4 linked regions of the Arabidopsis thaliana genome follow. The protein of the gene in region 4 interacts with the protein of the main gene of each other region in a biochemical or structural test. Each region holds a gene or a part of one and is shown on either strand. Other genes may lie near its edges.

Evidence for each region.
Region 1: the proteins of BZIP61 (region 4) and AT2G41090 form a complex in vitro, tested with the Arabidopsis thaliana proteins (one large-scale study listed by BioGRID).
Region 2: of the proteins of BZIP61 (region 4) and MPK4, one has a biochemical effect on the other in vitro, tested with the Arabidopsis thaliana proteins (one large-scale study listed by BioGRID).
Region 3: the proteins of BZIP61 (region 4) and CAM8 form a complex in vitro, tested with the Arabidopsis thaliana proteins (one large-scale study listed by BioGRID).

Annotation. Positions count from the first base shown.
Region 1 is NC_003071.7:17,133,132-17,137,741, forward strand, and holds AT2G41090 (Calcium-binding EF-hand family protein), read left to right. Parts: upstream 1-2,215; 5' UTR 2,216-2,691; coding exon 2,692-2,767; intron 2,768-2,870; coding exon 2,871-3,231; intron 3,232-3,348; coding exon 3,349-3,487; 3' UTR 3,488-3,868; downstream 3,869-4,610. Other genes in the region: AT2G41080 (pentatricopeptide (PPR) repeat protein), read left to right, coding at 1-1,423; AT2G41082 (uncharacterized protein), read left to right, coding at 1,694-1,798.
Region 2 is NC_003075.7:564,738-571,024, forward strand, and holds MPK4 (MAP kinase 4), read left to right. Parts: upstream 1-2,179; 5' UTR 2,180-2,481; coding exon 2,482-2,654; intron 2,655-2,785; coding exon 2,786-2,915; intron 2,916-2,983; coding exon 2,984-3,121; intron 3,122-3,310; coding exon 3,311-3,643; intron 3,644-3,723; coding exon 3,724-3,907; intron 3,908-3,979; coding exon 3,980-4,152; 3' UTR 4,153-4,410; coding exon of another isoform or gene 4,411-4,827; 3' UTR 4,828-4,985; coding exon of another isoform or gene 4,986-5,129; 3' UTR 5,130-5,267; coding exon of another isoform or gene 5,268-5,339; 3' UTR 5,340-5,504; downstream 5,505-6,287. Other genes in the region: BPS3 (BPS1-like protein), read left to right, coding at 410-1,456; AT4G01380 (plastocyanin-like domain-containing protein), read right to left, coding at 4,411-4,827, 4,986-5,129, 5,268-5,339; AT4G01390 (TRAF-like family protein), read right to left, coding at 5,505-5,653, 5,737-5,903, 5,992-6,274. UniProt on the Arabidopsis thaliana protein: The ANPs-MKK6-MPK4 module is involved in the regulation of plant cytokinesis during meiosis and mitosis. Essential to promote the progression of cytokinesis and for cellularization (formation of the cell plate) during male-specific meiosis.
Region 3 is NC_003075.7:8,395,407-8,400,726, forward strand, and holds CAM8 (calmodulin 8), read left to right. Parts: upstream 1-2,305; 5' UTR 2,306-2,393; coding exon 2,394-2,472; exon of another isoform or gene 2,473-2,556; coding exon of another isoform or gene 2,557-2,581; coding exon 2,582-2,739; intron 2,740-3,160; coding exon 3,161-3,241; coding exon of another isoform or gene 3,242-3,289; exon of another isoform or gene 3,290-3,299; intron 3,300-4,452; coding exon 4,453-4,590; 3' UTR 4,591-4,820; downstream 4,821-5,320.
Region 4 is NC_003074.8:21,519,971-21,525,572, reverse strand, and holds BZIP61 (Basic-leucine zipper (bZIP) transcription factor family protein), read left to right. Parts: upstream 1-2,054; 5' UTR 2,055-2,494; coding exon 2,495-3,117; intron 3,118-3,284; coding exon 3,285-3,375; intron 3,376-3,480; coding exon 3,481-3,607; coding exon of another isoform or gene 3,608-3,624; exon of another isoform or gene 3,625-3,907; intron 3,908-4,135; coding exon 4,136-4,284; 3' UTR 4,285-4,599; downstream 4,600-5,602. UniProt on the Arabidopsis thaliana protein: Transcriptional activator.

The sequences.
Region 1 (4,610 bases), on a different chromosome or scaffold from region 4:
TACTCTTGGTAGTGTTTTTAGCGGATCTGCTGGGTTGAGGTCAGTGTCTATAGGGCAGCAGATTCATGGCTACACGATCAAATATGGGCTTGAGTTGGATTTAGTTGTTAATAGTTCGTTGGCTCATATGTATATGAGAAATGGGAAATTGCAAGATGGCGAGATTGTTATAAGATCAATGCCGGTTCGTAATTTGGTTGCATGGAATACACTCATCATGGGGAACGCGCAAAACGGATGTCCTGAAACCGTGCTTTATCTGTATAAGATGATGAAAATCTCAGGTTGTAGGCCGAACAAGATCACATTTGTAACTGTGCTCAGTTCTTGTTCTGACTTAGCGATAAGAGGTCAAGGTCAGCAGATTCATGCGGAAGCTATTAAAATTGGGGCTAGCTCTGTCGTAGCTGTAGTTAGTTCATTGATCAGTATGTATTCAAAATGTGGGTGTCTTGGAGATGCAGCTAAAGCTTTCTCGGAACGTGAAGATGAAGATGAAGTGATGTGGAGCTCAATGATTTCTGCTTATGGGTTTCATGGACAAGGCGATGAGGCAATCGAGCTGTTTAATACTATGGCAGAGCAGACGAACATGGAGATAAACGAGGTCGCGTTTCTGAATTTACTTTATGCGTGTAGTCATTCTGGCTTAAAAGACAAAGGGCTTGAGTTGTTTGACATGATGGTGGAAAAATACGGGTTCAAGCCAGGTTTAAAGCACTACACTTGTGTGGTGGATTTGCTCGGTCGAGCAGGCTGTTTGGATCAAGCCGAGGCAATAATAAGGTCTATGCCAATAAAAACAGACATTGTTATATGGAAAACATTGTTATCTGCGTGTAACATACACAAAAACGCAGAAATGGCACAGAGAGTCTTTAAAGAGATTCTTCAGATTGACCCTAATGACTCTGCTTGTTACGTCCTGCTTGCAAATGTTCACGCCTCAGCTAAGAGATGGCGCGATGTATCAGAGGTGAGAAAATCGATGAGAGATAAGAATGTGAAGAAAGAAGCGGGAATCAGCTGGTTTGAACACAAAGGTGAAGTTCATCAGTTTAAGATGGGAGATCGCTCTCAGTCTAAATCTAAAGAGATCTATTCATACCTGAAAGAACTGACTCTGGAGATGAAGCTGAAGGGATACAAGCCTGATACAGCGTCAGTATTGCATGATATGGATGAGGAGGAGAAAGAATCAGACTTGGTGCAGCACAGCGAGAAACTAGCGGTTGCATTTGCGCTCATGATATTACCTGAAGGTGCACCGATTAGAATAATCAAGAACTTGCGGGTTTGCAGTGATTGCCATGTTGCTTTCAAATATATATCGGTGATCAAGAACCGAGAGATCACGTTAAGAGATGGTAGTAGATTCCATCATTTCATTAACGGAAAGTGTTCTTGCGGCGATTATTGGTAGCTGGGCAGTTAAAGTATGCTATGACTCTCTGCTTCAGAGTCTTTCTGGAGTCTTAAGCACTCAGATTGGATCGGGAAGCCATCTGGGACGAAAGCATTCAGCAGCAAGGGTAAAATTACACTGCGGGTAGTAGCTTTGTAGTCTACCTTGAGATTGCTCCTGCCTGTGTTATTCTTGAGTCAGGAACATGAAGTGGTTTGCTGTCAACTTTACTTACTCAAGCCATCTCCGCAAGGTAGAAACTATGGTTCGCGTTATTTCGTATGTACCATGTTTTTGGTCGTTTGTGTAGTTTCTAACCTTCCACACCCTTGGCTTGCGATTCTTTCCAAAGCAGAGATGTTAGATCAGAGGATGGAGTGGGTTCTCAAGTAGAATGCACTTGCGAATCCCTCAGATCAGATTTTTCATAGGTAAAGTTCGTTAACTTCAACAACACCACTTTAGTAAACATGTGATAATCAATCGTCATAAGCATCTTCGATTCATTTTTATCTTATGCAAGTGTTTGCTTTATTATGATTTGTTAAGTTTTGCATAAATACGGACGTTGAAGCACTTCCCAGAACTCATGAGTGTTTTTATAAACTATTTATTAAAAGTTAGTATAAGAAAACTATAACATAAAAGTAAAATATAATTTAGACAAATGTAGCGATTGGTCCAGTTACTCATCCAAAATTCCAAATGAATCTTCCACCGTTGATAATTCTATTCCATTGTTTTCTTCTGTAGAAGACCATATATTATTAAGTCTCTAGTCCATTGTCAATAAATGGAAATACAAAAAAAAAAAAAAAAAAAAAAAGAAGAAGAAGAAAAAGACAGCATTTAATGAACGAAAATAATATTAATGAATTTGGAAGAAGGAACGAACCAACGAGAAAAATCAACGAAATAATTTAGACAAATGTAGCGATTGGTCCACTACCCATCCAAAAGTCCAAATGAATACTTCACCGTTGATAATTCTATTCAATTGTTTTCTTCTGTAGAAGACCATATATTATTAAGTCTCTAGTCCATTGTAAATAAATGTTTCTTTCAAATAAATGGAAATACAAAAAAGAAAAGAAAAAAAAGACAGCATTTAATGATGATAACGATTTGGAAGAAGGAACCAACCAATTAGAGTAACAAACCAAGGAGGCGACTCACATGAAAGCAAAAGCTGACATGGCAGTGAATTCAGTTTTATAAAAAAGGCTTCAAGGCCGAGAGTTCGTAGTACAAACTCTTCTCTCAGTCATCACAGAAAATAAAAAACAATGGCGAATAAGTTCACTAGACAACAGATTTCAGAGTTTAGGGAACAGTTCAGCGTATACGACAAGAATGGTGATGGTATGGTTCATCGTCTCTATTCCTCTAATCGTACATATTGGATCCTGAATCATCTTCAAAGCACTGAAAATGACTAACACAAGTCCTTGATTACTTCTTGTAGGTCACATTACCACAGAGGAGTTCGGTGCCGTGATGCGTTCCCTCGGTTTAAACCTGACCCAAGCTGAGCTTCAGGAGGAGATCAACGATTCGGATTTAGATGGTGACGGAACCATCAATTTCACTGAGTTCTTGTGCGCAATGGCTAAGGACACTTACTCTGAGAAAGACCTCAAGAAAGATTTCAGACTCTTTGACATAGACAAGAATGGTTTCATCTCAGCTGCTGAAATGAGATATGTGAGGACTATCCTCCGGTGGAAGCAAACTGATGAAGAAATCGATGAGATTATCAAGGCAGCTGATGTTGATGGTGATGGTCAGATCAACTACAGAGAGTTTGCCAGGCTTATGATGGCCAAGTGAGATTTAAACAACTTTTCCGCTTCCCCTTTTTTTACTACCTCTTATCTAATTTCATAAAGAATGTTCCTCTCTTGTTCTTAAATTTCATTCTGAGTTCTTGTGTGTATGGCTAGGAATCAAGGTCATGATACTAAATATGACACAACTGGTGGCACTTTGGAGAGGGACTTGGCGGCCGGGGTTGCCAAAAATATCATCGCAGCGCCAATGACCGACTTCATCAAAAATTTGTTCGAAGCGTTGTTTTCTTGAAATGGTACATCAGTAACTTTATGCCATTAGGGTCTGGCTGGTATGTTAGATCTCTCTAAAAAGGCGTTTGATCTTTGAAAATAATTTCTATGTAATAAATTTATTGTGTTACCATCTTTTCTTGCATGCAATTTATTAAAATGAGTTTGTAATATGGTTTCAGTATCGAATATAATTGGGGTATCAATGTATCTTTTGAGAAAAACATTTAAAACGTAGCAGAACTAATTATTGAAAACTGGTAGCATTACTAAAAATTGATCTAAATCGGTTAATGATTTGGCACATACAGTGATCAAATCAGCTAAGCCTCATATCTCACCGTCCCAGAGTTCTTCAAGACTCTTATAAGGACTCATCTAATGAATAATGACATGCCTCGCACCAACCTGCCCTGCAACATTGAAAACACACGTCTACAATTTCGATAACCCAAGTGTTTTGAGCAAAACAAAGGACGCCCTTTGACCCATTTGGACTACAATGTGTGGAAAATTACTGCATGTTCAATATCAGAAAACTTGGATAACATGTCTTCGATATGGGCTTTTCTTATTTTGTACCCGTGTAATTTCGCTGGCCCAAAATCCAAAGCAACAAGGGTAAATTTGTATGCAGTACATGTGGCATGTTGGGTCATATGGAAACAGGTCACAAGACTCAGATTCTTTACATTGCGGCGGGTAGTAGTAGCTTTCTAGTCTACCTTGAGATTGCCCCTGCCCGTGATTCTTGAGTCGGGCACAGGAAGTGGTTTTCTGTCAACTTTACTTGCTCAAGCCATCCCCGCAAGGTAGAAACTTCTGTGGTCTTTCTCGTTATTTCTTATGTACCATGTTTTTGGTCGTTTGTGTAGTTTCTTCTAACCTTCCACACACTTGTCTTGCGAATTCCTTCCACAGCAGAGATGTTAAATCAGGAATATTCAGGATGTAGAAACTTCTCTGCTCTTTCTCAAGTAGAATGCACTTGTGGAATCCCTCAGATCAGATTTCATTGGTAACGTTCGTTAACTTCAACAACAACACTTTACTAAACATGTGCTAATCAATTGTCATACGCTTGTATTTCTTCGATTCATTTTTATCTTATGCAAGTGTTTTCTCTATTATGATTTATTTAG
Region 2 (6,287 bases), on a different chromosome or scaffold from region 4:
ACGGAAAAATCCTTTACAACTACCAAAACCAACGCGGGACTTAAAGTAGCGATTGCGTTGATCTGCAGCACACGGCACGTTTCTTTGATTCCTCCCTATAAGAACGCGTTTCAAGTTTTATTATCATACACTAAACCCATCTCCTATTTATACTTTCTTTTGGGTTTTTTTCTCTCCTTCATTGAAGTAGCGTAACATTGAAGTAAGCGGTAACATTTCGGAAGAATCTCTTTCTTTAGGTGAGTTTTCGTTAATCTTCGGCGAGTTTGGTTAAAGTAATGGTTTTTGTTCTGTCTTTGCATTCTTGAGATCTATTGATTCGGATTTTGGATTCAGAACAATGTTATTGGTTTGCTCATTGTTTCAGATTACTAACTTTGTTTCTTCTTTCTGTGTGTTTTCAGTTGATATGAGCCAACAACGTACACGCTCTCGGAACCCGTTCAAGATTCTGTTTACGAAGAAGAACAATGCTCGATTATCGCCAAAGCTTCTCTCACTGTTGAACAATTTCGAGACTAACTTGACGGTATCGATTAGAGAACTTGTACCAAAGGATAAGAATGATATCGTTAGTGTTTCTTGGATGATACAAGCCATGCAGTCTCTTTGTGAGACACACAAGAGTATCAGGACGCTCGTGAAGGATTTAGAGGTTCCAGTATCGGATTTGGAGGAGAATTTCATTTATATCTTCTCTGACTTTAGCTTGAAGCGGGAACTCTGCAACGCCTTTACCTCAGAGATATATCATTTGGAACATGGCAATCTATTACTAAAGTTTGCTTTTAGTAAGCTGGAGACAAACAGTGGCAATATTCTTCAGCGTTGGAATCAGCACATGGTTTCCAAGAACCCGAGTATCGAAAACTGGGGCGCGGTTTTGAGTAGGCTGGTTGAATCGATGGATCATCATCATCATATCTCCAAGAAGGGGAAGAAGAAATACTCTGCGGAAGGAAAAGTTCTCTTACGAGTTTTATACGGTGTAAAGGTCAAGACTTTATACATATTCAGCGTGTTTGATGCATCGTTCTCGGGTTCTTCCAAGAATCTCTTCTATCTAACCATTCCAAAGGAGATGGAGGAGCTTCCATGGGTTCAAGCTTTCATGGAACTGCAGAACACTATTAACCCGGAGATCAAAAACACATTTTTATCAGACGGATTCACGGTTATAAAAGATCTCGAGGCTGTTGAAACCGGTGTGAAGAAGCTTTACACAGCGGTACAAGAAGGGTCGGTTCCTATTTTGTTAGTGGAACCATTGGAGAAGTCAGTGATAGAACTTTCGGAAAGGTTTGAGCTAGTCTCCAAGGAAACACGTTGCTTGTCGAAGATGGTGATCTCTGCCCGAGACGCATTGTTGGAGAGCCTGTGGACGAAATGCGCAGAAGAGCTAGGAGTGACATTGCCAACGATGGTTAAAAGTGTTAATATAGAGGAAAAGAGCTAAGACTTGTTTGTGAATATAGAGGAAACATGTAATTATGGTATCGTTGATGTTAAGTAATAACAAATGCAGATAAAAATGAGACTTTAAAACGCTTCAAATATTGATAACTCTCTCTTTTCAATCGGTGCTAAGCTATAACTACATTTTCAAGTTAGTCAGAATTGTGCTTTAGTTCATCTTAGTTGATAATGGATAAGTGATGGGTTTGCTTGAGGCCCATTGTAAATCACTAGACCAAAAAAAATCAGTGTTATTTTCATGGTTACATGATCAATCAATCAAAGCAAACCAGATATTCTAGCTATTAATAATAACAAATGCACCAAACTTCAACATGGTTATATAAGTTGTTTAACCATGATTTTTTAAAAAAAATCAAAATGATGTCATTTTATCTTATACATAAACCTTTTTTCACTAATGGTTTTGGAATCAAAGGTCAGTTTTATGGTCAAAAACAATTTGGCCGCCCATTGACTTGTACACCACCAATATACCAAGTCGTACTTAAATTCTTATTGGAGAAAAGTTGTCATCTAGATTCTTTTAAACTTTATAATATGATATCAAGAACATTCCTACATGAAGTCATTAACTTGTTCCATTCTACAAACTTCATCAATTACATTTTTTCGGCAAAAGTCATAACCATATCTAATCTCTACTTCGTGGGATAACGCGATTTAGTAGAAGCAAACTCCAGTAAACAAAACTTAACCAATTGACTAAAAACACTTACCCGTTCCTCAATTACTTAGAGACACAATCATCGGATATACCCAACTCGATACCATAAACAAAATTGAAAATTGACATTACAAAGAAAAAGAACAAAAACCAAAGAAGAAGACGCAAACCCGGTTTAAGGGTCACGGGTGACTCGAGAGGAGACTTCCTCTTTACCGTTCAATAAAAAAAAAAGGGTAAAGGTAGAGACTTTATAACGAAATGTCAACACCCATCTTCTCGATTCCTCAATTTCTCTAGGGTTCTTCGTTTTCGTTGTTGTGAGGAATTTTGCTCCGATGTCGGCGGAGAGTTGTTTCGGAAGCTCGGGTGATCAAAGCAGCAGCAAAGGAGTGGCTACTCATGGTGGTAGCTATGTTCAGTATAATGTCTATGGCAATCTCTTCGAAGTTTCTAGAAAGTATGTTCCTCCTCTTCGTCCTATCGGTAGAGGCGCTTATGGAATTGTCTGGTGAGTTCCAAAATTAATCAGATTGGGTTTTTGAAACATGTAATGTTCACTTCTGGGGTTCTTAGATTTGGGAATTAGGGTTTTGGAATCTGTTGTTATTATAATAACTTGTGTTGATAATTGTTGATCAGTGCTGCTACAAACTCAGAGACTGGAGAGGAGGTAGCTATCAAGAAGATTGGTAATGCTTTTGACAATATTATCGATGCTAAAAGGACTTTGAGAGAGATTAAGCTTCTCAAGCATATGGATCATGAAAATGTACGTGTTACTAATCATCAGCATCTCTGGTTTTTTTTGTGTGAATCTTATATTGGTTTATTGTGCAGGTGATTGCTGTAAAGGATATAATAAAACCACCGCAGAGAGAGAACTTCAATGATGTTTACATTGTTTATGAGCTTATGGACACTGATCTCCACCAAATTATTCGCTCTAACCAACCCTTAACTGATGATCATTGTCGGGTATGCATCAATCTCCATCTTGCTTATATCTAGCAGCTGAATCTTCTGTTTCTACTTTAGAAGCAGCTGTTATTGTGTTAGAGCATCTGATGAGTATTGCTTGATACTTTATAAGTGAGAGCTAATAAGGATTTCGTTTGTTATGCTTTGAAGTTGTGTTTAGTAATTAGTTTCGATTATGTTTTGCAGTTTTTTCTGTATCAGTTGTTGCGTGGGCTCAAATATGTTCATTCAGCTAATGTATTGCATCGAGATTTGAAACCTAGCAATTTGCTCCTGAATGCAAATTGTGATCTAAAGCTTGGGGATTTCGGGCTTGCGAGGACCAAATCCGAGACTGACTTTATGACTGAATATGTTGTTACACGTTGGTATCGAGCTCCAGAGCTGCTACTTAATTGCTCTGAATACACAGCAGCAATTGATATTTGGTCTGTCGGTTGTATACTCGGTGAAACAATGACACGAGAGCCCTTGTTTCCCGGTAAAGATTATGTTCATCAGCTTAGACTCATCACTGAGGTAATCTAGTTTAGTATGTTTCATCCAAAGAATCACCACTTAGTCTCTCTTCACGGTATTAATGAATCTTTGGAAAGCAGCTTATAGGATCTCCTGATGACTCAAGCTTGGGATTCTTAAGAAGTGACAATGCAAGAAGATACGTTAGACAGCTTCCACAGTACCCTAGACAGAACTTTGCTGCTAGATTCCCAAACATGTCGGCTGGTGCAGTCGATTTGCTGGAGAAAATGCTTGTTTTTGATCCAAGCAGACGCATCACAGGTGAGTTATATTTTATATAACTGCTTCTCTGTTTCTTCGGCTATTTTCTGAACATGTTTTTTGTGTGTGTAGTTGATGAGGCGTTGTGCCACCCATATTTGGCGCCGCTGCATGATATCAACGAAGAACCGGTATGTGTGAGGCCGTTCAATTTTGATTTCGAGCAACCTACTTTGACAGAAGAGAACATTAAGGAGCTTATATACCGTGAAACAGTCAAGTTCAATCCTCAAGACTCAGTGTGAGAGAAAGAGAGAGAGATATATATCCTTAAAAGGAAACTCATCAAAATGCTATGTTTTGTTTTGCTCTGCTTTTGTTATCAAATCTCTGATAAGTTTGATAATATGTCTGTAATTTGAATAACATCCTAAAAAATTGGAAAAAAAGAAAAGAACAACCTTTGAGCTGTGTTTTGCAATAGAGTGTATTTAAATTTCCTTACTTTTTAGTCGAAAGAAAATACAGAGAAGTCTTAACTCTAATTACATCCACTAATTATCTTAATGATGGGGTTGAGGTCCGAAGGTGCGTAACCATCTGTTGAAGCGGTCCATAAGTGACAACTCTATCTTCTTCGTCGGAACATTGGGGACAGGTACGGCTTTGGTGAGTGGTCCGACCACGACTCGTAGCTTAAGCCCAGCGTAACAGTGACCTGGAGTCTTAGAGCTAATGAAATAATGGACTCCTGGTTCTGTGAGCGTGACGAGATCGTGGCCTGTCATGTGCACGGCTACGGGAGAAATCGGGTAGCAGGATATGAATTCAAGGTCCCCGCTGATCTCTAAGACGTCGTTGACTTCGTTGTCGTATTCGAAAAGAAGACTGTCTCCGATCGGAAACTGCGTCTTCTCACTCCATCTGTAATAAAAGTAACTTTCTTGCGGAACACTCCATCCCTTGGAGCCACACCAACTCTGTAGATATTTCAAGGAGGAAGGATCTTGCTCGGTGGTGTTGGAGGAATGGGACGTGACGAGTCATGAACGACAAGAATGTCGAGCTTCTGTCCCGATGCGCATTGAGCATGGTTTGAGCTGATGAACTAGTGAAAACCTGGTTCCGTGAGGGTTACGATATCGTGTCCAGGGTTGTAGACGGCTTTAGGAGAAGAAGAGTCGCAGAACTCGTATTCCAAAGCGCCGGAGACTTGAGTGACGTCGTTGAGGTTGTGATTGTGTTCGAAGATCAAAGAATCCCCAACGTGGAACACAAGTTTCTTTTGGCAAACAAATTATGTCTTTTCTTTTGGCGTTTTTCTCATATATATAGGTAGTAAAAGCAATGGAATGCTCACGATTCCTTGAAAAAAAAACAAGATCTTATTTGCAAAACAAAACTAACAAGAAACAATAACGATTGAGAACCAAGTCTCTATAGTTGATAAACTGGGCTTATGAAATCTTGTAGATTGTCTTGTTATGCCCATAAACTGAAAATACACGCCAAGCACATCATCTTCATCTCCAGCAACACGTACGTCGACACACATCACAAGTCATTACGGCATCAGTAGCTTAGTTACATAATAGTACTATATATATTCTCCAGCATTTTATTCATACGTTATAAATATTTCTTGCTGATTATATAGCTAACAGTAATTAGAGACGGAAATGACATCAAAGTCAACTCCCACATAAAGCTTATCCTTCACCAAATAAGGGTCATCAAGTTCCCCTAGAGGCATGAAATCCGCAAAGCCATGGCGGTCATCAGGTTCTGCACCAAGCCAACCCGAAACTATACGTACCAGGAGAAAAAGATTAGTACTGTATTTAACCATCATGCATCACAAGACTTTCCAAAACATAATAAACACATACTTGTTTTCTCAACATGATTCCTGCTAACTTGATCCAATACACGCAGCTTGAACCTCGCGTAAGTTTTAGTCTTTGGTGCATTATTGACAAACCCTAGTGCCGATAGATACACAGAAAATGATTTGTCTTTTTCACCCATAGACCCTCTTGGATGAACTTTAATTCTCCTGATCAAATATATTGTGATGCATTTTTATTAGTATTATATATAAGTTGTGTTATGTTTTTGGGAAAAAGGAGGAATATAATATCAACCATTTCCGGGTTCCAACGACAAATTCATTAGACTGATGAACGTTTCCAGGGTTGAAGGACGAGAACATGGTCATCATCCAAGTGACTCTGTGATTAAGAGGCTTCTCTATTAAGCTAAAACTTTCCGCTGTTCCGGGTTTAGCAGGTTCAATCCCATGGAACTTGACACCAAACATACAACAATCTCCAATAAGGAAACCATTTTTCTTAAGATCAACAAGAGATATGAACTCACGAAACCCCTCACTACCCAGTTCTTCATTGGTTTCGTATTCATCTCTTCCTGCACATCAACA
Region 3 (5,320 bases), on a different chromosome or scaffold from region 4:
GAACCAGATGACCGTTGCTTCCACTTTTGTTTCTTGGGCTTGGTTTGTGCTGAGGCCCATCAGTTTCATTTTCCTCTTTACTCCATTAGCCGAAAGGACAACGTACTTCGTTGTCTAAATATTTTGTTGTAATTGCAATGACATAAAACAAATATTCGTTAATTTCCCTATGTTAATTCTTTTAATTAAAGGGGTCAAAAAAGTATTACTAAAGTGAGCTATTTAAGGTTGCAAATATATTTTATCTATATTTTAACCTGAATTATTTTCCCACCTAGGAAGAGTAAAAATGCAAAGATTACTAATGAAGAAAAGCCCCATAATTTTGTTTTTTTTTTTGTTTTTACAATTCGTTTCTAGAAACTCAAAATATGAAAAGTTGAATCGTTTCAAAAAGAAATTGCTGGTTCGTTAATTTGCTACGTCTAATCGTTTATTTATAATTATTTTCTTATATCGTGCTTATGAACTTATAATGCAACGTATGATACATGCATTTCCCCTACTGTTCGAATACCAATTGCAGATTCAATGCAAGTCAGCAAGTATCTCCTAAATTATTTCTTAGCAGTAGATATTCTTCTTAATGATTACAATCTTTTAGCAGTAGATATTCTTCTCAATTATGATATGTGACGTGGAATATATATTTTCATCTGTTATATAAAAACAGTCGCAATTATTCAAACAAAATGTATAGGAAAATAAATAAGTGGTGTGAATATGTGATTCAAATGAATCTGTAATATTCTCAAAATTCCTACCTCCGTGAATTCTAGAAAATGTCGTCGATCGGAACAAATTTGAAAATAGAATGATTTGTGTGGATAAACTTTTAAATCATTGTGTGGGAACGCACGGATTCTACAAAATCATGCTGGCCAAGTTAAGCTTCATAGCCTTAATGCATTCACAGCTATGGACAGTCGAGTTGTACGTTAATATGTCTTCTATGGACAGGAGCGGGTAAGATGGCCAATGAGGTCATTATGTTGAGATGTACGTAGACAAATTTCAATGTTGTTCTTTCTGAGTATTAAAAGAGTGTGATCACTGATTTTGAAGTCAGAAAAAACAAAAGAACATGTTTAAAGCGTCAAGTTTATCGCATCGTCTCGGTTCTCAGATTGTGTATTTGGTAGCTGCGGTGGTGGCTAAATTGCGGTCTCTTTTGTTGACATCACTTGTATTTCTTGACTAGTTATTTGTGCTACCTGGTTTTGAATGTGTCTTGCTAGTGCGGTTCTTCATAATTGAAGTTAGTGCTGCAATGAGTTATCACCTCTTGTTGCGTTTGTTTTGTGTTCTAGAAGAGTTAGTAAGATCGATGGTGTTCGATGTGGTTATGAATCGCATAAATCATGCTCTGCTCTATCCGACTTTGGGGAAAGAAATTGGTAGATGGAGCTTGCATCGTTCGCATAATTTGGTTCTTGAGGTTCCATATTATTGGAAAGCTTATGGACTTGAACAACGAGTCACTGTCACATGACGCGAGAGGAGTTTATGCCAGAGAACTTTGAGTTTCTACCGTTGACGGCTCATCCTTAGACCTCCAATTCAAAGTTTTTAATGCAAATAGTTTAGCATTATGCTTTTTTCAAGCAGTAGTTACCCTTCTTCTTAAAAAAACAAAAAACAAAAAACTTAATTATAAGATAAAATTTCAAAATAGTCATATTTTTATCTAACTCGTTCGGCTTCAACGCTTTGGTTGAGTTGATTGACCAAAACTTGTGAATCACGATGTATGCTTCTATGTTTTATTTTTCTTGTTATAGGATCATTTGTATAGGCTTAAAATCTTTTGATTGTAAATTTATATTTTTATCATTTCAATAAAATATTTTTATTTTTATTTAAGAAAAAACAGAAAAAAACAAAAAACAAAAGAACATAATTGTTGCGTACAAAATGAGTGGCTAATGGGTTTGAACTAGACAGAAAAAGTTAGGGACGTTTTATCAAAGACTATTGTAGGCTTATACTTGTTTGTTTTAGGACTTGTCGTTCTATGTCTATTTGTAGTAGTCTCTACTTGTTAGAATAAGATGATTTTTTCAAAACTAATTTTGCACAAGTGATTTGAACTTTAACAAACAGCGACAATTATTAATTTATTATATGGGATTCAGCCATGTGACTAGAATTAAATTGTTCAATCCAAGAGTTCTAGACCCAAAAAAAAAACAGTACTGCCCTTTCAATTTAAAATAATTTGAGAATCAATTAAAGAGCTTAAAGTAGTTGAAAAGTACATAAGTCCAATGTAGAAAAGGTCTTGTCACAACTCTACATATAGACCATAAATCAGAGATTTAAGCACTTCAAACCTTGAGCTCCCTCCTCTCTCTCTCTCTCTCTCTTTGTCTTCAAAATATTCTCAGAAAACAATGGAAGAAACAGCACTGACAAAAGATCAGATCACTGAGTTCAAAGAAGCCTTTTGTCTCTTCGACAAAGACGGCGACGGTTCTCTTCCTTTCTCTAGATGGTCATATATAGAATAAAGATAATAAAGACGACGACTAATATTATGTTGTGTGACATTTATTTATGGTTGTTTGGAATCCTTTAATAGGTTGTATAACGGTGGAAGAACTTGCAACAGTGATCCGTTCGTTGGATCAGAATCCGACAGAACAAGAACTTCATGATATCATCACTGAGATTGATTCTGATAGCAACGGCACCATTGAATTTGCTGAGTTTCTCAACCTCATGGCCAAAAAACTTCAGGTTCCACTCTCTCTTGATCTCTCATGCTTATTTATTTCACAACTAATTACATCAAGTTAACGTAGCCACGTACAAACCAAAAAGTTACATCAAGTGAAATTTTTTTGTCTATATGATTTCTTATATATTATGTTATAGGTCCCTTATTGTAACTCTTTGATATGGGATCCTAACAGGTTCTAGTCAAAATGGAGCTGTCTCATTCATTATGCTTCTAGTTTATTAAAAACTCTTAAGAAATATATTGGAAATATTCAGCTTTTGTATTACAGCAAAATCTGTTTTGCTTTCGGTTTTTCACTACGAATAAATCTGATTTGTGAAGAACTAGACACGTAAATGTGTATAATGTAAACAAAGACTTTTATGACAATAGTTTTTTTGTATGTTAAGTTGTTGTCATGATCATGTGATGGTTTAGGAAAGTGATGCGGAGGAAGAGCTGAAAGAAGCATTCAAAGTCTTTGACAAAGACCAAAATGGATACATCTCTGCCAGTGAGGTCCGTGACTCTTACTCTCTTTTTTTTCTCTCTTTATTACTAATTTGATATATGTGTCAATGTGTATATTTAGTTAGATATATGCTTGACTTATTGAGAACTTAAAAGGGAACTTATGCGGAAAATCCTCTTTAAGAACTTATAAAAACAAATTAGTTCGATGCACTGGATTGCGTTTTGTACAACGTTCTCCAATAATACCATGTACGGTCTAACTGTGTTTTTATTTGGTTATAAATGATTAGAGCTATAATTATTTAGATTTTTGTATCTACTAGAAATCCTTATCTAAATTTTGGTTATTGTCAAATTTAGTTTAGGTACATGAACCAATTTCATAAATGTCTTCTTTGCTTAAGTGGTACATGCTCTATATCTCTAAAGTGTCGTCAAATACAGGCTAAGCACAATAATTATGAGCATAGTATTTTTATGTAACCACTTGGACCAATTAATTCTGCATTAACTAGAAAAAACGAGAAATCCAGCTAAAACACACTTTCACATATGTAGAATCAATGACAAATATCAGACAACAAAGCCAGACGATCTTCCAATTTAAAGAGATCCATAGTTGTCTCATTTATGTTCTAAAACATTTTTTAACAAGACATGGCCATTTATTTATTTGATTTTATATTTTCGAAAGTCTGTTTTCCATCGTGAGGGCTTAGAGCTAGCTGGCATTGTGAATCTTTAGAGAATAACGAAGAGGAACAAAAGAAATTTTAATACAAAGTAGTTAGATAGAGTAAAATGCGTTTGATTTTATTGGTTTATTTGACAGGAGGGCACATGTTTCACCTAGTTTAATTAAATATATATACCTTTCTTTACATCCTCAAAAGTTACATTAATGCAGACACCTTTTTGCATGCAACACAATTCAATTTATTAATTTGGGGTTTTCTATATCGATTGGTCAAAACTTAGGCTAAAACCAGCTGTATTTTGCTTACAACTTAAAAAAAAAAAAACTAAACAATTGTATGAATTTGGTTTATTCATATTTTTCGTACCGAAATTAGAAATTGTTCAAGTTAGGCCGTTTGACCTACTATATTGTATTGCATATTCAAATGGATAATAAACAATTATTATTCTCTGTACAGGGTCAGACCCGTCTGATTAACATGCACAACTTAATTTACAATAATTAGACTAACAATTACGTTAATTATTTATTAATTTGAAAAGCTTTGTTATTGCAGTTGAGTCATGTAATGATAAATCTAGGAGAAAAGCTAACAGATGAAGAAGTTGAACAAATGATAAAGGAGGCAGATTTGGATGGTGATGGCCAAGTCAATTATGATGAATTTGTCAAGATGATGATCAACATTGACTGATTACTTTTTCTAAATCTATTTATTATATAAGCCAATGATCCTTAATTACCTTGTTAGTTGTTACTACTTCGTGTTCACACCATCTCAACAAATTCTCCATTATTCCACATTCATTGAAATTTTCAGATCCAGTTTTGTTTTATCACTTGTGAAGCTGTCAAATCCAATATAATCTCTATATTATAGCTTTCTCTATATGATTTTGGAATTCTGTTTATACATAGTTTGTTTCTATATTATAGCTTTTTCGATATGATATTTTTCTTCTTCTTGCAATCTTTGATTATAGGTGTTTCAATATGATTTTGGAATTATATTTAGCGAATGAATACGAAACACAATTTTTTTTGTGGAAAATGCAAAAAATCTTAAAACAAAGCAGCATATTGAGTTTATGTGAATGCTAAAGTATTTGGATATTATTTTCCTCATGAAAGTGAGGAGTTGAACTCCTTCACTCAAACGAAAATATCTAATGGCTAAACCACTAGTCTAGACACTTTAAAGAATAATTGAAAATGATTTATGTAAAAAAAAAGAAAAGTGAGACTGTGAGAAAGCCATGCCCATATAATATTTAGTAAGAAAATAATAATAAAATTACAGGTAGTAAAAAAATTTCCACACTTTATCAAAAACCCCTCAAACAGAAAATCCCAATTTAAGTATACAGAAAAGAGAAAACCCAATCCACACTTTCACTTATTTCCTCCCAATTTCTCAGAATAAT
Region 4 (5,602 bases):
TTCCTTTTTGTTTTTGGTATATCAAAACATTACTCCTCCTACTAGATGATTTCTTTTATATATTGTGTACTTTCTACAGTATTTTTGTTTACCGGAAAATTCTCTCTTTTTTATAAGAAAACTTTTTCCGGACCAAACATGGTTTTTTGTCTTTTGATACGAAGTTTCCTCTTCAAGTGGAACTTGAATTCGGGTTAACCCACACTTGACTAACAAAAATAACAATTCTATTTCTCTATATGGCTCAGTTATTAGCTTTTTTTGGCTTTCCATTTTCACCTTTTAATTTGAACTGAAATATTTGATACCACACTAAAATATCTCTCTTTAACTAACCATATGGTTATATACTACACTTTGCAACTAATTGATAACTATATTTATTTTAGTAGTTTTATTTTCGTTGTACCAAAGCCGTCCAATACTAATTGATTAAACTGTTATTTCAGTTTCTATAAGTTCTCGTTGAATCCCTTAAACTTGTAGCTTTTTTATTTGTTTTTGCCGGGCTTGTTGTAGAAATTTCGAAGATTGGTCTTATGTAGAAAATTAAAGAGAATATTCTTAGAGTACTTTGTTAGAGGACCACCATTGATGTTTGGATTGTTTGTAGTAAATATTGTATTAAATTGAATTGTATATTTTAAATAAATAGTGAAACAATAGACAGTTCACAGTTGGAACATAAACTAAGAAATAATTTCATACGTTCTAATATATATATGCATACAATTTTGTTTTAACGTAACTACTTGTATTTTAACATATATACATAATAGCAAAAATATTCTTAATCAAACCAAACTTGTCTTACATATTTTTTATTTTGTCATCTCATTAATCTATTTTTGAAAAGTTTGTATTTGTGAGATTTCTATATATTTTTATGGATATACAAAGTGAATTTAATCCAATAAATGATCTTCTGTTATAAAAACAATGAATCAAATGGATTGGCCTACATGAAGCTTTGGTTTGGGGACAAAGAAAATATAGAGAGGGAAAGGTCTCACAAGTCACAAAATATTATACAAAAAAATAAAAACAAAGCACATGTTCTGACACATGAACATGGTTCCTTCTTCACTTCTCCTTTTCTTTCTAACAGCTCATTTCTCTCTATCTCTCCACTCTTCCACTACTCTCAGCCTCCCACTCAATTCATTCTTCTCTTTCCCTTGCATTTTATAATGCTTTTTGCCTTTTTTTCCCTTATATTAGCATTGCATTGTCATAAATTCCTATGTATATGTTACAACTGATGATTGATTTTCTTGTTCTTTAATTGTTTATAGTATATATATAGAGCTAGGGAGCTAATTTATGTATATATGTATAGACATGGCTTCTCTATAAGCTTAATTGTACATGTGAAGGACAGAAAGAGAAGTGTATTAATTGTATTGGACTATTCTTTCTTTGTCATTTGATAAAGTGGCCACTCTTATGCTATCTACTCATTAATGTCCATACACACTGACTCCTAAACTTACGTATGATGATCTTTGCATTTACATGTATAGTAATCCTGCATGCGTTAAACTAGTTAAACAAGAGTAAAAAAGTTGTGTCTGCTAGACAATGACTCAAATGATAACATTTTAACCAAAACATTTGCTCACCTCCATAAGAAGTTGAATGTTTCGATAAAGCTTATATAGGTTAAATCTTAAAAAGTTAGAAACTAGACTTAATTACAAGTGTTTCTTGAATCGATTAGTGGTATATATACATAACATTCATATGATTTCCATATAATTTAAAAAGAGGAAATACGAGAGGGCATCCGGTAGCATCTGCCCAAGTGTCAGCTCGCCGGACGGCCAGAAAACAAGGCGGGGGAAATGATCAAACGGCGGAGAAAGGAGGAGAGAAAGGCGGGAGCATGTGGAAGAGCAAAACATAAGAATGTTTCCAAAGGATAAATAATATCATACACTGTTTTGAAAAGAAAAAGTCTCTCTAATAAAATAAGTTTAGCAAAACAAAATTAAGGGAGAGGGGTTCACTAAGAGCACGTGCTGCCTGATTCTCCATTTGCTCTTAAGAGAGACCTCAAATCTTTTTAATTTTTCTTCCGAAACAGCTGTTTCATAGCTGTCCGATCTCTCTCGCCCCCCATGTGACCCCACTCAGAGATATAAACCCTTTGAGATCGAATCCATTTATATAATTTTATTTCGCTTTATTCTATTATAAAAATTATCTTATCTCATGCATCCCTCTCTCTTTCTATCTCTTACTTCTGTTTTGTATAACTACTCTTTGTTATACATAGCCATTTTAGTTACTCTGGTTTGTTTCTCATCCCATTCTCTCTCTCTTTCTCTAATGGTTCTTAATCTGTTTTAGCATTTTGATCATCTAAAACTTTCAATTTCTCTCTTGATCCTCACTTGAATTTTTTGTTGTTTCTCTCAAATCTTTGATCCTTTCCTTTGTTTTTCATTTGACCTCTTACAAAAAAATCTGGTGTGCCATTAAATCTTTATTAATGGCACAACTTCCTCCGAAAATCCCAACCATGACGACGCCAAATTGGCCTGACTTCTCCTCCCAGAAACTCCCTTCCATAGCCGCAACGGCGGCAGCCGCAGCAACCGCTGGACCTCAACAACAAAACCCTTCATGGATGGATGAGTTTCTCGACTTCTCAGCGACTCGCCGTGGGACTCACCGTCGTTCTATAAGCGACTCCATTGCTTTCCTTGAACCACCTTCCTCCGGCGTCGGAAACCACCACTTCGATAGGTTTGACGACGAGCAATTCATGTCCATGTTCAACGACGACGTACACAACAATAACCACAATCATCATCATCATCACAGCATCAACGGCAATGTGGGTCCCACGCGTTCATCCTCCAACACCTCCACGCCGTCCGATCATAATAGCCTTAGCGACGACGACAACAACAAAGAAGCACCACCGTCCGATCATGATCATCACATGGACAATAATGTAGCCAATCAAAACAACGCCGCCGGTAACAATTACAACGAATCAGACGAGGTCCAAAGCCAGTGCAAGACGGAGCCACAAGATGGTCCGTCGGCGAATCAAAACTCCGGTGGAAGCTCCGGTAATCGTATTCACGACCCTAAAAGGGTAAAAAGGTAATTAACATTTTTATTTACTATTTCCCAAAACCCCAAGGAAGGTCATGCATGCACGTACAGTTTATAATAGTATCTGATAATTCGATACACCGTTTTTATAAAATAGTTAAATTAGTGTCACATCGATAAAATCTAATTTTTGTTTTTGCTGAAATTTTCTACAGAATTTTAGCAAATAGGCAATCAGCACAGAGATCAAGGGTGAGGAAATTGCAATACATATCAGAGCTTGAAAGGAGCGTTACTTCATTGCAGGTAATTAATTTACACACAAAGATATACTATGTTTATTAATGTAAAACAATCTAAATAAAAAGTTTAAATACTGATCAACAAATCATTTAAAATTGTGGAATGAAGACTGAAGTGTCAGTGTTATCGCCAAGAGTTGCGTTTTTGGATCATCAGCGATTGCTTCTCAACGTCGACAATAGTGCTATCAAGCAACGAATCGCAGCTTTAGCACAAGATAAGATTTTCAAAGACGGTAATTTTCTATTTTGAACTTTTTTTCAATTTTCTAACATTGTATAAAATTCTTCTGAATATATTTTTCAGGGATACTATCAAACTATAGAAATTTGTTTGTTTTTTTTTACTATTATTGTCTGAAGTTTCACTAGCTCCATGTATTTAATAGTCACTGACAATATATAGGCTCGACCAATAATTATTCTTTAGTAATATAAACTATATACAAGGAAGTACTTGCGGCAATGCATGCTTCATGATTCATAAAATTACAAACATGAAATATATATTGTCCTGCTTGAATAGATTTAGTAAGGTTTATATATATCTATAGCTAATTATTTTATAACATGGATCTAGCTAGTAATAATGAATCACAAGATCAATAGAGTTTAGTATGATTAATAAGTTAGAACAACTGTCCATGTGTGAACATATATATGAGATAAGTATAGATATTTATGTTAACATGAAACATGTGAGTACTCATTGAATATTTAGGTTTATTGACAACACTGATAATTGTAAATTTTAATATTTTCAGCTCATCAAGAAGCATTGAAGAGAGAAATAGAGAGACTTCGACAAGTATATCATCAACAAAGCCTCAAGAAGATGGAGAATAATGTCTCCGATCAATCTCCGGCCGATATCAAACCGTCCGTTGAGAAGGAACAGCTCCTCAATGTCTAAAGCTGTTCGTTCACTAAGATCTTTCTTTTCATGGCGAAAAGATTCTTGACTATAAAACCTCTTTGTGTCAAGAAATTAATTTATCAAAGAAGATGGCCTTTTTTATTTGATCTAATCACATTTTTTTAAGTTGTGATGAATTTGCTTTTGATGTATCTGTTTTTTTTTTTTTTTCTTATGGAGTGGGAGGGGGAAAGTGGGAATGATATGTAAAAAGAACTTAGCTGATTTGTTGTTTATTCAATTTTTTTGTTGGAGTGTCTATGCATTGTGTACTAATTGATATTTTTTCCGAATGATTTTTTTTTCCATCAAATTTAGGGTAATCGAATAGTTAAAGATTCCCTCTTTTCACATGGTTCAAATTTTGATGTGTGCCATCATCCATATAATAAACAAATATAACAATTTATATACTTGTTTAACTTCTAGTGACAAAAAGAACAGGATTTGTGAACCATGAAATGTTAACACATAGTTTCAAAATTTATATTTGAAGTGACTGAAAGCGATTTCTCATTCCTTAAAAACTCGTACGATTATTTCATTGTTAAGAAAAAATCAATTAATTATGATGATTTAATAATATTTTAACCTCAGGTTTTTTTCATTTTTTGTCCTTCGAAAAAATCAAGTGAAAATGTAAGGTATTACTAGCTAATGTAGCCACTTCCTTACGTAGGGCCTGGACATTTAGATGATGTCATATAGAATCTAGATGATATATCAATATATACATATATCAACGAATACAAACACATCACGAATGTCATACATTGTATAATTACAGACAAAGAAAACAAGATTAGTGAGTTTTATTTTCTTATGAATCAAACCTTTATGAGTAATTAGGGTCAAAGTGGGTCAAAATCTGAAAATGTGGGGTGAAAAAAGGGAAAGAAAAGGGAGAACGTGGAGACATCTGAAGGCTAAGCTGTAAGTTCACGTGCTATGTTCTTTGGCCTGGACCACTACGGTCTCGTTGCTACATGATTGGCTTTGTTTCCTCTTCTTTTCTTTTTTTATTTTTCTTAACAATTTGTAAATAATGTTTAATCAAATACAATTTATCTTTTACTTTGGTTTCAAAGTTGAATGAGACAGTCAAAGTTAATATGGAGGATAGAGTAAAGTTACAGAGGAAAGCTACAAAGTAGGAAGTTTAAAATTTTGAAGAGGATTATAAAAAGAAAATTTGAAGAGGAGAAAGTTTTTTAAAGACAAGAGGTTAGTGGTCTTGTGTTGGACTTGTTGGGATATGTATGAAAGCGAGATGTTGTCAGTTCCAGTGTTTTTAACTTATGTCAGTGCCAATACC